Linked DNA regions of Drosophila melanogaster. Changing the gene in region 1 together with any one later gene gives a genetic interaction. Each region holds a gene or a part of one and is shown on either strand. Other genes may lie near its edges.

Region 1 (7,629 bases):
AGGAACTCAAGATCGCCCCTGTGGTGCATACTAACTGGGGCACTCGGGTGGGTTCATGTAGCCGAAGACATTTAACTCGTAAAGCGACGCCAGTGTGATGAAGAACAAATACCAGACCATAAGAATTATGCCGAGTCGCTTGTCCAGCTTCCATCCGTTCAAGTGCGTCGACAGAATTAAGAAGACGACGGTGGAGAAGAGCGACAGCGTGGAGTAAGCCAGTCCTGAAAATCGAAATTGTTTGGAAAACAGACAGGAGAGGGAAATAGCACCTAAGGATTAGACTTGAACGGTATTACGAGCGCTGCTACTTGGCCTAGGACTCTCATGCCAAGGACACACGACGATGACTACAAGGTAGATAGACACGCAAGCAATACATACCCTTGGATATTACGTTGACGTGCGAGCCGGGCTTAATGATGGCCGTCTGTATGAACCAGGGAAGACCTAAGCACACTAGTATATCAAAGACATTCGAGCCTATAGCGTTCGACACGGCCATGTCGCCAAAGCCCTCTTTGATAACGGCTATTGAGCTTAGGGCATCCGGGACAGACACGCCAGCGGCCACAAACGTCAAACCCATTACGGTGTCCGGAATGGCAAGCGTGGACCCAATCACGGTGATCATCCACACCATAAAGTAAGAGTAGAACGATATCCACACCATCGACATTAGGAAGGTGAAGGGGTACCAGTTGCGATACTGCTCCTGCCGGCAGTCCGGCATCGTCTTCTTGCAGAGAAAGTGGATCGGGTAGACCACGTACCAGGAAACCAGAGCTGGCAGCCCTCCTTCCATGGGACGCAGTAGAGGATCGCGGCGCGGTTCTCGCTGCTTGTCCGTGGACTTGTAGTAGTCGTTGCCTCCGGCCGAGGTGGCCTGAGTAGACACAACCTGGCCACCACTCTTGACGGCCGCAGGTGGACCATCGCCTGTTACCACAGACTCGGGCTGGTCGGCATGGTAGCCCATGTTTTCCTGACCACTGTGACCCATTCCCCAGTCGTCAACGGGCGGAGGATTGGCCACTGGATTCGGCTGGCTCTCATCTCCCCATGCGGCGTTCGGGTCCCATGTCGGATTCGGATCGCTGTAGTCCTGGTAGTCGCTTTGCGGCTTCGCACTTCTGGTCTCGCTATCATCGGTGGCCTTCTGTCCCTGGGTCTGGCCGACACTTTCTTGGGTGTAGGAGCCTTCTGGAACATTTTTGTAGGTTACCAGTGCTGACTGCTCTTCCTTACTAGGTAGCTTGAAGGGTAAATTCAGACCCAGTGCCCAGCGTTCCAGCTCCGTATTGAAATGGAGGGCCACGCAGTATCCTACGTAGCAGAGGAGCATCACGACGGACTCAAACTAAAAAAAAAAGGATATCAGATGACGATAACGATGGTTTCTATTTGGTCGTAACTTACGCATGATATAACGTCATTGAAGATGATTATTAACATTACAAGAATAGAAACACAGTAGAAGAAGCAGTCCCGCACCAGGGGCCACCAGTTCAGTTGGCAGACGGTACCCGAGCACAGGGCGCAGACAGAGATCACGAACATAATGTTAAAAACGGCCGATCCGATGACCCCGCTGATGCCGATGTCGTCCTTAGCAAAGAACACTCCTATCACCACAGTGGCCAGTTCAGGAGCCGAGCTTCCGGCAGCCATAAACGTGGCTCCCGCAACATCTGGCGATAGCTTTAGCTCTTAAATGGAATAAACAAACGAGTGACGGATATTATAATAATCCTTTTGCTGCACCAAATAGTTGAATATTTAAAATATTTCAGTATTCACACCTCGCCAGAAAAAATGTGATCATATAACCATTATCACTTCGGTGCCTGTCAGTGATCGAAAAATAAAATCGCCTGTGGCTGGGCCGGTTATAAAGGGTTACCCATCAATATTTTGGCAAAATACATAATAAATACATTACATACACGAAGAAATTAAAGCTTGCAGTGGTTGATCATAACGAGTGGTCATGGCGAGGTAAAAAACAAGCCACGACGCTTCTTCAAATGCAAAATTGATTGCCTTTCTAAATACACAACCGAAAAGTTGATATTCAATTTTGTATGCTAAAGTATCGATCGCCACTTTTTGTTTGGCTGAGGACTCACCCTCGCAAAGCCGATCCAGACTGGCCACAAAGTACTCATCGCAAACTATTGCCAACCCGAAGAAAGTGAAGACTGCCACCAGTATGTGGAGGATAAGGCCGCCGTGCTGTCGCGCCCACTTATTCATCAGCGGCTGTGGAAACTGCTCGATAGCCGGGGGCGTGCAGTTGTCCCGCTTTGGGCGCCAGGTGGGAACCGCGCCATGAATGGGAGTCGATTGTGTACTCGCCTGAGGCTATCGGAGAAGGTTTTAGTCCTAAGTGGTCGTGGATCTTTATGACACGGTACCTCAAACGCCAGTGTTGTGTCCAGAACGGAACTCTCTGAGTTTCTCTCTGGAGTATCCTCTCCGTTGGCCTCGGCATCGCCAGCGTCCTCGGCCAGAGCGCCCACATCCAGAGGCAGGACCTGTCCGTCCTTGGTGTCTCCTTTGGCGGAGTAGATGCTGACGCAATAGTATATTAAGAACAGCAGCCCCATGTTCCACATGCGGGCACGGCGGGATCGACTGCGTACAATCTGCAAAGGAAATATTTAGGTTAGCGCGGTTTACATATGTATGATGTTCGATTCCGGCCACTAAAACGACATGTTTCTAAACAAAAACGTGATAACTCTCCATTACTTTCAATATATCATTAATTCTAGAATTCATTTAATAAATGTTTTTGGTAGCCTTTGGGACATACCCTAGGTTTTAAAGAGTTAACAGACCAAGCTGGTTCCCATCAATGTGATAAGGTGAACATATGTACTACTTATTAATGGTATAGACGTTTCTTTAATGAAAACGATCAATTTTGAGTATTTGAGCATGACTTGTCTATATTACCAAAGACGCCAGAATATTATTCTATTGTCTTGATATTACCAACATCACAATAGTCTTGTGTAGCAAACTTCAGACTGAAAATCATTTTACACCCTGCAATGGTATAAATAGAGTTAAAAAGTTTACTGTCCGATTAAGGCTTATTATAAGAACATTCTTTGAGTTTTATATATAGAAAAGCTTCGCATAATGGAATGACCAAATACTTAATCTGTGATATCCCTTCAAAAACGATTTCCTTTATCAATCAGTGTTTGTTAATTTGACACAAACTAACAAACTCATTTGACAGTGTACAAATAACAGCTTGGAAAGGAAATAATGGAGTACTAAGATTTTTTATGCTGGGGTATGGTGGTTGGCTTATTGCACAAGCCAGCTTTGTCTGCCGCTCTTTGGTAGAAATGTGACACCTACATACAATAGTTTGAACTACAGTAAGGCCAACCACACAAAATATTCATATAAGAACATACATATCTTCTTACCAAAACTCAAGTTTACCTAAGCTTTAAGCCCTTTTGTCTGGAATTTTACCTTGTATGTTTATATTACATTTTCCGACAAAAACAATAAAGAATACAATAGTCGACTTCTCGACTATCAGATCTTCGAAATTTCATAATTTTCTGGGATATCGATAGTTATTGGTGATAAAAATTAGAAAAAATTAAAAATTGTTTAAAAAAAAATGAAAAAATATCAAAACATTTTCAAAAGTATGGGCTTGGCAGTTTTGGGCGGTTTGTGGGCGTTAGAGTGGGCGTGGAAACATTGCTCTAGAATCTGTATTCTTAATATCAACCTTCTGGCTTTTATAGTTCCTGAGATCTCGACGTTCATACGGACATGGCTAGATCGACTTGGCTATTGATTCTGATCAGGAATATATGTACTTCATATGGTCGGAAACGCTTCCTTCTGCCTGTTACATACTTTTCAATTTTCGGTATGTAGATCCAATGCAGGAGGTGTGCATACATACATAAATCTTCCCCTGACTGTCCGATACGCTTTACCCAGTTAGTAGAAGTGAAAAAATGATATTTCATATATGTATATTCATATATTTTGTCAGCATAGCGATTGAAAATGCCGAAAATAAATTAAAATGGTGTCCATCTCAACATTGTATATTTTATAGTTCCCGATATCACTGCGTTTATACGAACAAGACCAGACGACTAGGTGGAGCAGATAGTAAACCTGCTCACCTATTTATTTAAAGCACTTTATAATCGAAACCACCGATGCAAATTTTTTTCCATTTATTTCCCCGGTATTCCATGGAAACCATATAATATATATAGTGTTTCGATTCGAATATATGTATATTTAAAACCTGCAATAGAAAGCAGAAAGTTGAATGCTTTGTGCAGAAAAAACGTTTGGTCAGACGGACATAGACATATAAACTCGGTTGTTAATACTGATCAAGAATATATACTTTATATGCTCGCAAATATCTTAGTTGCTGCGTTGCAAGCTACTGACTCAAATTAAAATGCCCTCTGCAATGTTAAAAAAAAGGGTTCGAAAAATTTTTATTTTGAGGCCAGTTTAACGCAGCTCTTTTTCAACATTAAAGCCACTTTTGTCTTAGACTCTAAACGTTTGGAAAAGTTACATACATTTGTATGAACATAAAAACATATTAGGGAGCACAGAATTATGAATGCTTAAGTAATTTCATTGTTTAAGAGAAAGTACAGCACTTATTGTGCACTAGAGTTTCTATACCATCTGACACTATGGACCTTGTCTCCCAACTTCTAGAGTTCTGACAATGCTGAATCCACTATAATCTATAAACGCAGATGTGATTGAATAATTGAAGTTGATATTGTTATTGTTGTTGCTGCTGGTGTGATAACAGCGCACACTTAAAGCAAATTCCCGAGCGTCGGGACTCTCCTCTCCCTCTCTCTTAAGAGAGAGCGAGAGCGCGAGGGAGCAGCGAGAGCAAGTGGGGAGTTCACCATTAAACACGACCGGCCCTGGGATACAGAGATAGCATCGTGAGGAGTGTGGGGCGTGATGCGAAGGTCTTGGCGGCGTCAGTATGACTGAGTGACTAACGAAACCAAAGCCACCACACCATTCCGTGAGCTCAGTGCCCCCCTTTCGGGCCACTCGGTCATGCCGCAAAATATCGATTTACAGTTACGCTTTCCTCTCCCCGTGACCCTCCTGCGCTGACAGCACCCTTACTCCCGCTTGCTGTTGGGTAAGGTTGCAAGAGTGCCGCAGTGGTTTTCGGTTGACTTTTGCCGTTAGTTACCGTTGTTGTTACTGGTGATGCTGTTGTTGCCTCCACGGGTCTGCTGAGAGATATGGGAAGAGGGGGAAGGAATCCACGATGACGGCGTCATCTTATAAAAATAAATGACTATGCTTATTTAATAGACTAGGGGACAGTGGCGTCGGACTGGGAGGAAAGAAAAGCTGTGGTAGCTGAGCTTACATCATACACGTTCGTATTTTACTTCAGCGGCGCAAGACAATGGGGCATAGAAAAGCAAATGCGCTGCTTCTGCTTCTGCCCCATTCTGCTCCTTCAACAAGAGTCGAGGGGTGACAATTGACTTGCAATTTGCATTAAGGCAAAGGATGTGCATAAACATGGCTCAGCGGATTAGGCCTGCACCTTGTGGCCCATTTCATAATCACTTTTTACCATTTTCACTGTTGCCTGGTGGCGCTGCTCTAGGTTCACTCTCCGCGGACTTTTGGGCTCGTTAATTGCAGGCGGTAGTTAAATTTTTAACGGAAAACAGATACAGAAGAAACAGTTGCCTTGGAAAACATGTGAGGAATCAGGCGGAGAGTTGAGTTCACTTGGCCAGCTCCACTAATCCATAGGCCTTTAACTTAATCTCGGTTCACTGGGGGCTTTGAAGTAGGGTTTCGCCTAGCATATCATTTTACAATCGATGATTTTCGCCCTTTTCCTCGCCGGGCGAACGTGGACGAGTATATGCGGTTCGAATCGAGTACCTCACGGACTAAAACGAGACGAGACACGGCTAGAGTGGATCGAGCTGGCCTGGTTTTCCACCGATGACGTCTGAGCGCGAACTGATGCAGCGTCGTCGTCTACCGCACAACTTCGCACGGATGGAGCGGACGTCCACCAGTGGCAATCCACCACAGCCGAACGCTTCGGCCGGAAATGTGAAATAAGAAAGTGCGACGCCTGGGAAATGGCTTCGGTGTGGGTGGGGGTGGTGGTTGTGGGTGCGAGTGAGTGGTCCGGTAGCGCCATCTATAGACAGCTTTCCAAGTCGTGGTCCGTGGAAATTATAAGCTGGCAACAAATTGAAACATTTTAACTAACTTTTCGCTGTTGGATGGAAAAACTTTCGAATGGAGTAAGAAATATAAAATAAGAAAAACTCAGAGATATCACAATTGAATTATGATATGTATGATATACGTCATACATACAATGATATGTATGTATATATTCCTCCACTTCAATTTTATATCGATAGCAAAGCTCCTCGTGCAGGGTTGTTATGGAGAAATTCTCAAGCCTAAGAATAACGAGGGATAGCATTGTAGTACATATGTATTTGTTTGATTATTATTTATTTGCGCACAGCCTAGCCATCAAACGTCAATTGCGATGGCATAGTCAAACAGCAAACAAGCAACCTCTGTCAGCGCATCATTTGAAGTGCCGCTAAGGACAGCATTTGTCTGGATTTTGCCACATTATCCTTTAGATGTGCAACGTGACTTGCCGCTTTCTCAGATCTTGCCGCTAGCTAAGCATGCCTCTGCGAAAACACAGTTCTTTAGAGGACATGTCTCCGTCGTCCTTCTGAATCGTCACCTACAAAAAAACCGCTTGAACAATGACAAATTTACCTGTTGACACCTACAAATAGACAATTCGTCTAATTAATGGGAGCGCTCCGGAGACTACTGAGCCCATCCAAGAAATATGACGGCTTACAGTTCCTCAATTGTAACAGGTTATGGCTTAATTATTAGTCGATGGATCTTTAGGGTTCATAAAGATGCCAGACTGTCTGCCAAACTCCAGAAATATTTGCAGTTCTACGAAAAAACAGCGCATGTTCTTTCGTGGACAGTTCAACGAAAAATATATCACTTTCATTTTATGTTAACGTGTGGCTAGGACCAGCTTACCTCAAGATATTTTTTAATGAATATAATAAATGCATAGGTAAGTAATGTATATCTCTTGCCATAGAAAAGTTGAGCAGGCATGGCTTTTAATTTTGCTAAGAAGAATATTAATGACAACTGCTTTAATCGTCGTCCTATTACATTGAAGAGTATGTTAATTAAAAGAACTCAGCAAGAATGATGGCCATGAATCCCAATTAAGGCGCCGGCTAAACTCCGTGCTGCGGGCATCATGCGAATGCCTCTCAACTGAATAGGTTTGACTATTTGTTTAGGTTTGAAACGTTGTAACTTAGTTATATGCAATCCGATTTAAGCGAAATAAATTTGTATGTATGAATAGATCAGTCATTTGTTAAATAGCAAAGTTTCTGATCTCTTAAATTTGTGTTTATATTCTTTTTTATTTTTTTTTTTTTTTCAAAAACAACAAAAAATCTTCATTTTGTTGGCTCAATTGAATAGGTTTGACCACTAAAACTATTTAATAAAGTATACATTTATTAGTAT
Region 2 (4,911 bases), on another chromosome or scaffold:
TTTCGGTTGTATAACTCTTCAGTTGTCACTCGAGAGATTTGGAAAAGTTGTTTCTTTTCTTTTCCATAAACTGGGAACTTAATAAAAATAATAGAAAGACCATTGCCGGTGAAATTGAATCGTTGGCATTCTGCCCACATATTATACAACTACAACGCGTGGCGACAACAAGTTGGTTGGTTGGCCAGCTGCTGGCGAATAAATAGAAATGTTATATGCGTTCACTTAATAGCCGACAAGTGTTTAATTTGTTTGTTTTGGGTTTCGCCCGATTAATAAATAAATATGGCCAATGTATATAGCCCATTTAGTGCCTCGCCGTGACCTCAAAACATGGCTCAATTTTATGCGATTTGTTTACTCAATGCATTTTTTGTTTTGACTGGCTGGCTGCCTTCTGCCATTTTATTCCCGACGGAAATAAGATTGCTTTTATATATATATATACATATATTTTCTTATTTCCCTGATTCTCCGAAGTGCACTTGATTACGTGCAGTTTATGGGGCAGATAAAATTTTCCCAACGAATGGGCTTTAGTCTAAAGTTTCCAGCGCTTATGAATGGGCTTTAGTCTAGGGCTCAGGTGAAAGCCAATTGCCTGCTTAGCCTTTTTTTTTGCAGATTTATGGCCAAGTTATTTCCACCTCTCCATGCAGACAGTTACAATGGCCTGGCCAAAACATTTGTTGTCCGCTGTCAATTTATTATTTGTTATTTATTATTTACGTTCTGACTCAGACCACGGCGGATGTAAAGAGGCGAAGGTGTCCATTCATAGAATGCCAAACCAACCAACCAACCAGCCAGCCAACCAACAAAGTGGTGTGAAAACGTGTTCAATGCTGGCCGAGATTGTCCAACGAATCGGTTTTATTTATGGCTTATTGGTAACCGGCAAATTCAATTAAACAGATATTATCTTAAATGGAAATTTATGAGCCAATTCGCCCAAAGAGTTAAGGGGTTTCTCAAAAATGTTTCAGCTTATCCGAACTGCCTTAGAGAAACGCAAAATGATTTTTCTCTCTACAGATGTACAAAATGTACCTAAACTCAATTCTAGTGTTTTTATCTACAACAGGAAGTCAATCTTCTGTGCATAAGCAATCCTCTTGAGATTAAAAAGATCTCTTGTGCAATAATACATATCAGCATTCTAAATATCTCTAGAGATATTACAATCGCTTGAAATGCACACAAATTCGTTGTCACACACATTCTTTGATTATTTTGAAGTCTATTTTCGGCGAGTTCTGCTTAAATATTTTGTGTGTATTTATAATTAGTTTCTATTAATGCGAAAGAACTACTTTGTTCATTTTTTCCAGTGCATACAAAGTAATTTATTCGTAATGGAGCTCTCTACTTCAGCACAATCAACTACAGTAAAGTATCTCTAATTTGACACCCACTGCGGGGGGCGGGGCAGGTGTGCGTATCTGGTGGATACTTGGCCATAAGCCCCACCTGATTAATGTGCCATGTGCATAATGGGTAGGTGTGAAAAAGAGGTGCAAGTGGCCAGTAGCAATGTGATGGGTGCACATTTTCCAAGAACCACTAGTATCCATTGATTATTCTGGCTTATCACAACAGTTGTTCAACGCTTGATGCCAGGTGAATTGCGAATTTGGCCAGGGGAATTACAATAAATATTTCATCAACACCATTCGCGGACATTTTTATGACTCCAAACTTTGACGATTCGTAGCAGTTTTGTACCACATTTTCCGGACATTGAGAACGATGGCAATTAACAACAGCCTGGGCTGGGCAGCCTTTTGAAGTGGCCAGAGATAAATGGAGCAGTCGGCAAACTGAAGGAGGTCTGTATTCAATAAACAAATTGGGCACAGTGTGCAATTGGAGGCAATGAATTATGGGCATCTGATTTGATCAGAACTTCTCGATCCTGAGTCACGTATTGGGGGAAAATGTATCAACAGTTCGTTTGGTCAAGAAACGGATGGCGTGGAACCGGTTTAAGAAAGTCGCTATAGACACATTCAGTTGACCAGGCAAACAAAAGAAAGGTGAACCCTTTCTTCTATATATATATGTACATATATATGTATATATACCAACTTTATTTGGGTGTTTCTGGAAAAGCAGTATGAGTAAATTCGAAATCCATCGTAGTGTTATTCATATTTTCATAGTCTTACGCAGTCTACCGTTTGATCGCAGCAGCTTGGCAACAACAACAACTATTGAAGATACAACAACAACTTTTGAACGTACAACAGTCACGATCGGCGATGAATCACGATTTGAATACCTGGCACCGGTGGATGTTTGCAGTCTTGATTACTTGGAATGCCGCTGACGTATTCACCATAGACACACGCACACTTTTCGTAGACCCAACACTTATATGCACTTATCAATGAATAATACCAGGCAGTGATAATAGCACACACACACACACACGCACTTAGAAAAAGGTCACTGATAATAGTTCATTATGTACACCATCTATAGGAGCATAGTGACCATGACTATTTTGGGTGTTTTTTTTTTGTATAATTGCATCGAATTGAGCAACATCACGAGCGCCGAATTCGATTTCGATTTTCGAGCTTACGATTGACAATCACTTAGAACTCTTGTCAACCACCTGTGGCTGAGTTTGCACTTGTATTCGAATTCCGATTCGTATCTGTGTTTGTTTTTTACTTTTGCGAAGGTGTGGGGGTTCGCTCACATCGATATCTAAACTTTTGAGTGCGGATTCATTTGCTTAGCACCTTTGATGCTTCACTTATACTTATATACGACACGATTTGGTTTCGTTTCCACACGATTCTATATCTATATTATCGGACGTATCTTCGAGCCTTTCAAAAATTAACGCTTACGTTGTGGTTTTCTGTGCTTAACACTTTCTGCGTGGGGCACTTCAGCAGTATCGGTTGCTCTTGAAAGACAATAAATACTGCGTCGTCGGCAAAGTTTGAACAGTTTGCACCGAACACAAGTCAAAAGCCCGCGAAATTTCCTTCCGCTTTGACGTCCGAACAGCTCGAAAAGTTAACGTTAACTAGAGCTGGGGCACTATCGACGGTACTATCGAGGTATCCGATTCGATTGTTATTTTTTGCTATCGATGAGCGTTATCTACAGCATGTAGAATAGAACGGATAGAATAATATTTTTGTTATATCTTTAGTCAACATCATTTGAATTTTCTTGTTTCGTTAGGGAGTTTATCTCTCGTTTAGTTTCCTTTTATTATTATTTCATTATTATTTTGAAAGGTGAAGTGTACTAAATAACGAGCTAAAAATTGAACGCAATCACGCTATTCGCGGCGATGCCAGACCGCTTGAAAACAGTTCCAGTTGGCCAGTGGCGGCCAGTGATGCCATGCGTACTAAATTTCCTAACGGTTTTAGTTTTAGATCGAAGTGCTTAAAATAAAGTTTTCTTTTATTAAATAATATTTAGTATCATTTAAGCATTTCTAACGATTTGTCAGCTGAGTAAGGGGATTGTGATTTATAAGGGTCTCGACTATAGCATTTTCACTACTTTCCACCTATTAAATATTTTCAGGAAACTGGTAAATCCTTTTATTCTACAATAAAGTATAATACAATTTCCATTTATTATTGATAAGAAATAGTACATTTTATTCATTCGGTTTCACAAAGTGGCCCTGGAAATAAATGGTTTCCCTATCGCGAATGACATAGGCAAAAGGATGATCGGCATTAAAAACCATTTGAGATGACGGCATAGGCATACTATAGCGCACGAAAAGTAAAGCTGGCAAAAATAAAACATATTATACAAATATATATATAATAAAATTATATCATACCTGTTGCAGCCGCTGCCTCAGCTCCTTCTTCATTAACCTCGATGAACGCCTTATGAATGACTTTTTTCACATGAACGTTACTGTTTTCGACCAGATCTTTGAAGTCAGCAGATTTTTCGAACGCATCTTGTATGCCCATCTATAGATGAATATCTATAAATTGTAAGGGTGTATCAAGAATAATCTGTGAATACTCACCGCCACAAGAACTTTGTTTAGTTGAGCGAAGAATTCGATTTTAAACTTGGGAAGCCTTAAAGTTACATCCATTTTGGAAAGTTTCGGTTTGAATCCTACAATCTTTTTCTCCAGCTCTGATAGTCCATCGACCTGGTCCGGTAGAAAAATTAGCATGGACAGGCTTGAATTTCTGTAGGGCAGCTCGATAATTTTGGCACCCAGTTCACTATCATGTGCGGCCCTAAATGATTGAAATAGTGACATCATCTCGACAGGAACACTCTTTTGATCCGAAACACGGAAATTCCTCTTCTTCGTTAACTTGGGATTAAATTTGTACTCCCACTGGCCTTTAAAGTATATGGCATTTAAGACGATCAATTCCATTTTCGACATGTCATTGGATGAAACTAAGTCTTTGATTTTACCACGCGTCTGATTATCTACCCAATTATTGACAATTGAAGAAGCCTTATTGGGATCGACAATGTCGATTGCCTCCGCTTCAGCCATAAATGAATCCTTGACCATCTGATTGTAACTCGGTACTAGCTGGAACTTTTTGTTCACGTATATGCGATTAGCCAAACTGAGAGTGGCTACCTTCTCGCGTCCTTCGAGTTTACTCAGAAGGTCCTTGTATTTGGCTGCCACTTCCTTTTTGTCATCGGGCAGTTTCAAAACATTCCTCATTTCTTGGGCTGTCTTTGCCCTGGCTCCCATGTAGGCCATGCTCAGTGCGATTTCCACGGAAAGGGGAGAGGAAATGAGATTATTGGCCGCATTTTCCTTGGCCAAAAGTTGGTAGAAATCGTCGGCAAAGCGACAAGATACCGACGTGGCCAAAAGAAGCAGACCTGCGTTGCAATTATTACCTATTCCTCTTTGATTAACTTGTATTTTAT

Evidence for each region.
Region 2: of CG1090 (region 1) and Pvr, changing one enhances a phenotype caused by changing the other (phenotypic enhancement), as found in Drosophila melanogaster (one study listed by BioGRID).

Annotation. Positions count from the first base shown.
Region 1 is NT_033777.3:4,358,297-4,365,925, reverse strand, and holds the start of CG1090 (uncharacterized protein), read right to left. Parts: upstream 6,044-7,629; 5' UTR 5,959-6,043; exon of another isoform or gene 5,426-5,958; intron 2,649-5,425; 5' UTR 2,619-2,648; coding exon 2,418-2,618; intron 2,365-2,417; coding exon 2,130-2,364; coding exon of another isoform or gene 1,939-2,129; exon of another isoform or gene 1,710-1,938; coding exon 1,420-1,709; intron 1,361-1,419; coding exon 385-1,360; exon of another isoform or gene 225-384; coding exon 36-224; intron 1-35. UniProt on the Drosophila melanogaster protein: May function in the removal and maintenance of calcium homeostasis. Transports one Ca(2+) and 1 K(+) in exchange for 4 Na(+).
Region 2 is NT_033779.5:8,236,831-8,241,741, forward strand, and holds the start of Pvr (PDGF- and VEGF-receptor related), read right to left. Parts: upstream 3,049-4,911; 5' UTR 2,862-3,048; exon of another isoform or gene 2,089-2,861; intron 1-2,088. Other genes in the region: Spn28F (serpin 28F), read right to left, coding at 3,635-3,771, 3,827-3,965, 4,025-4,863.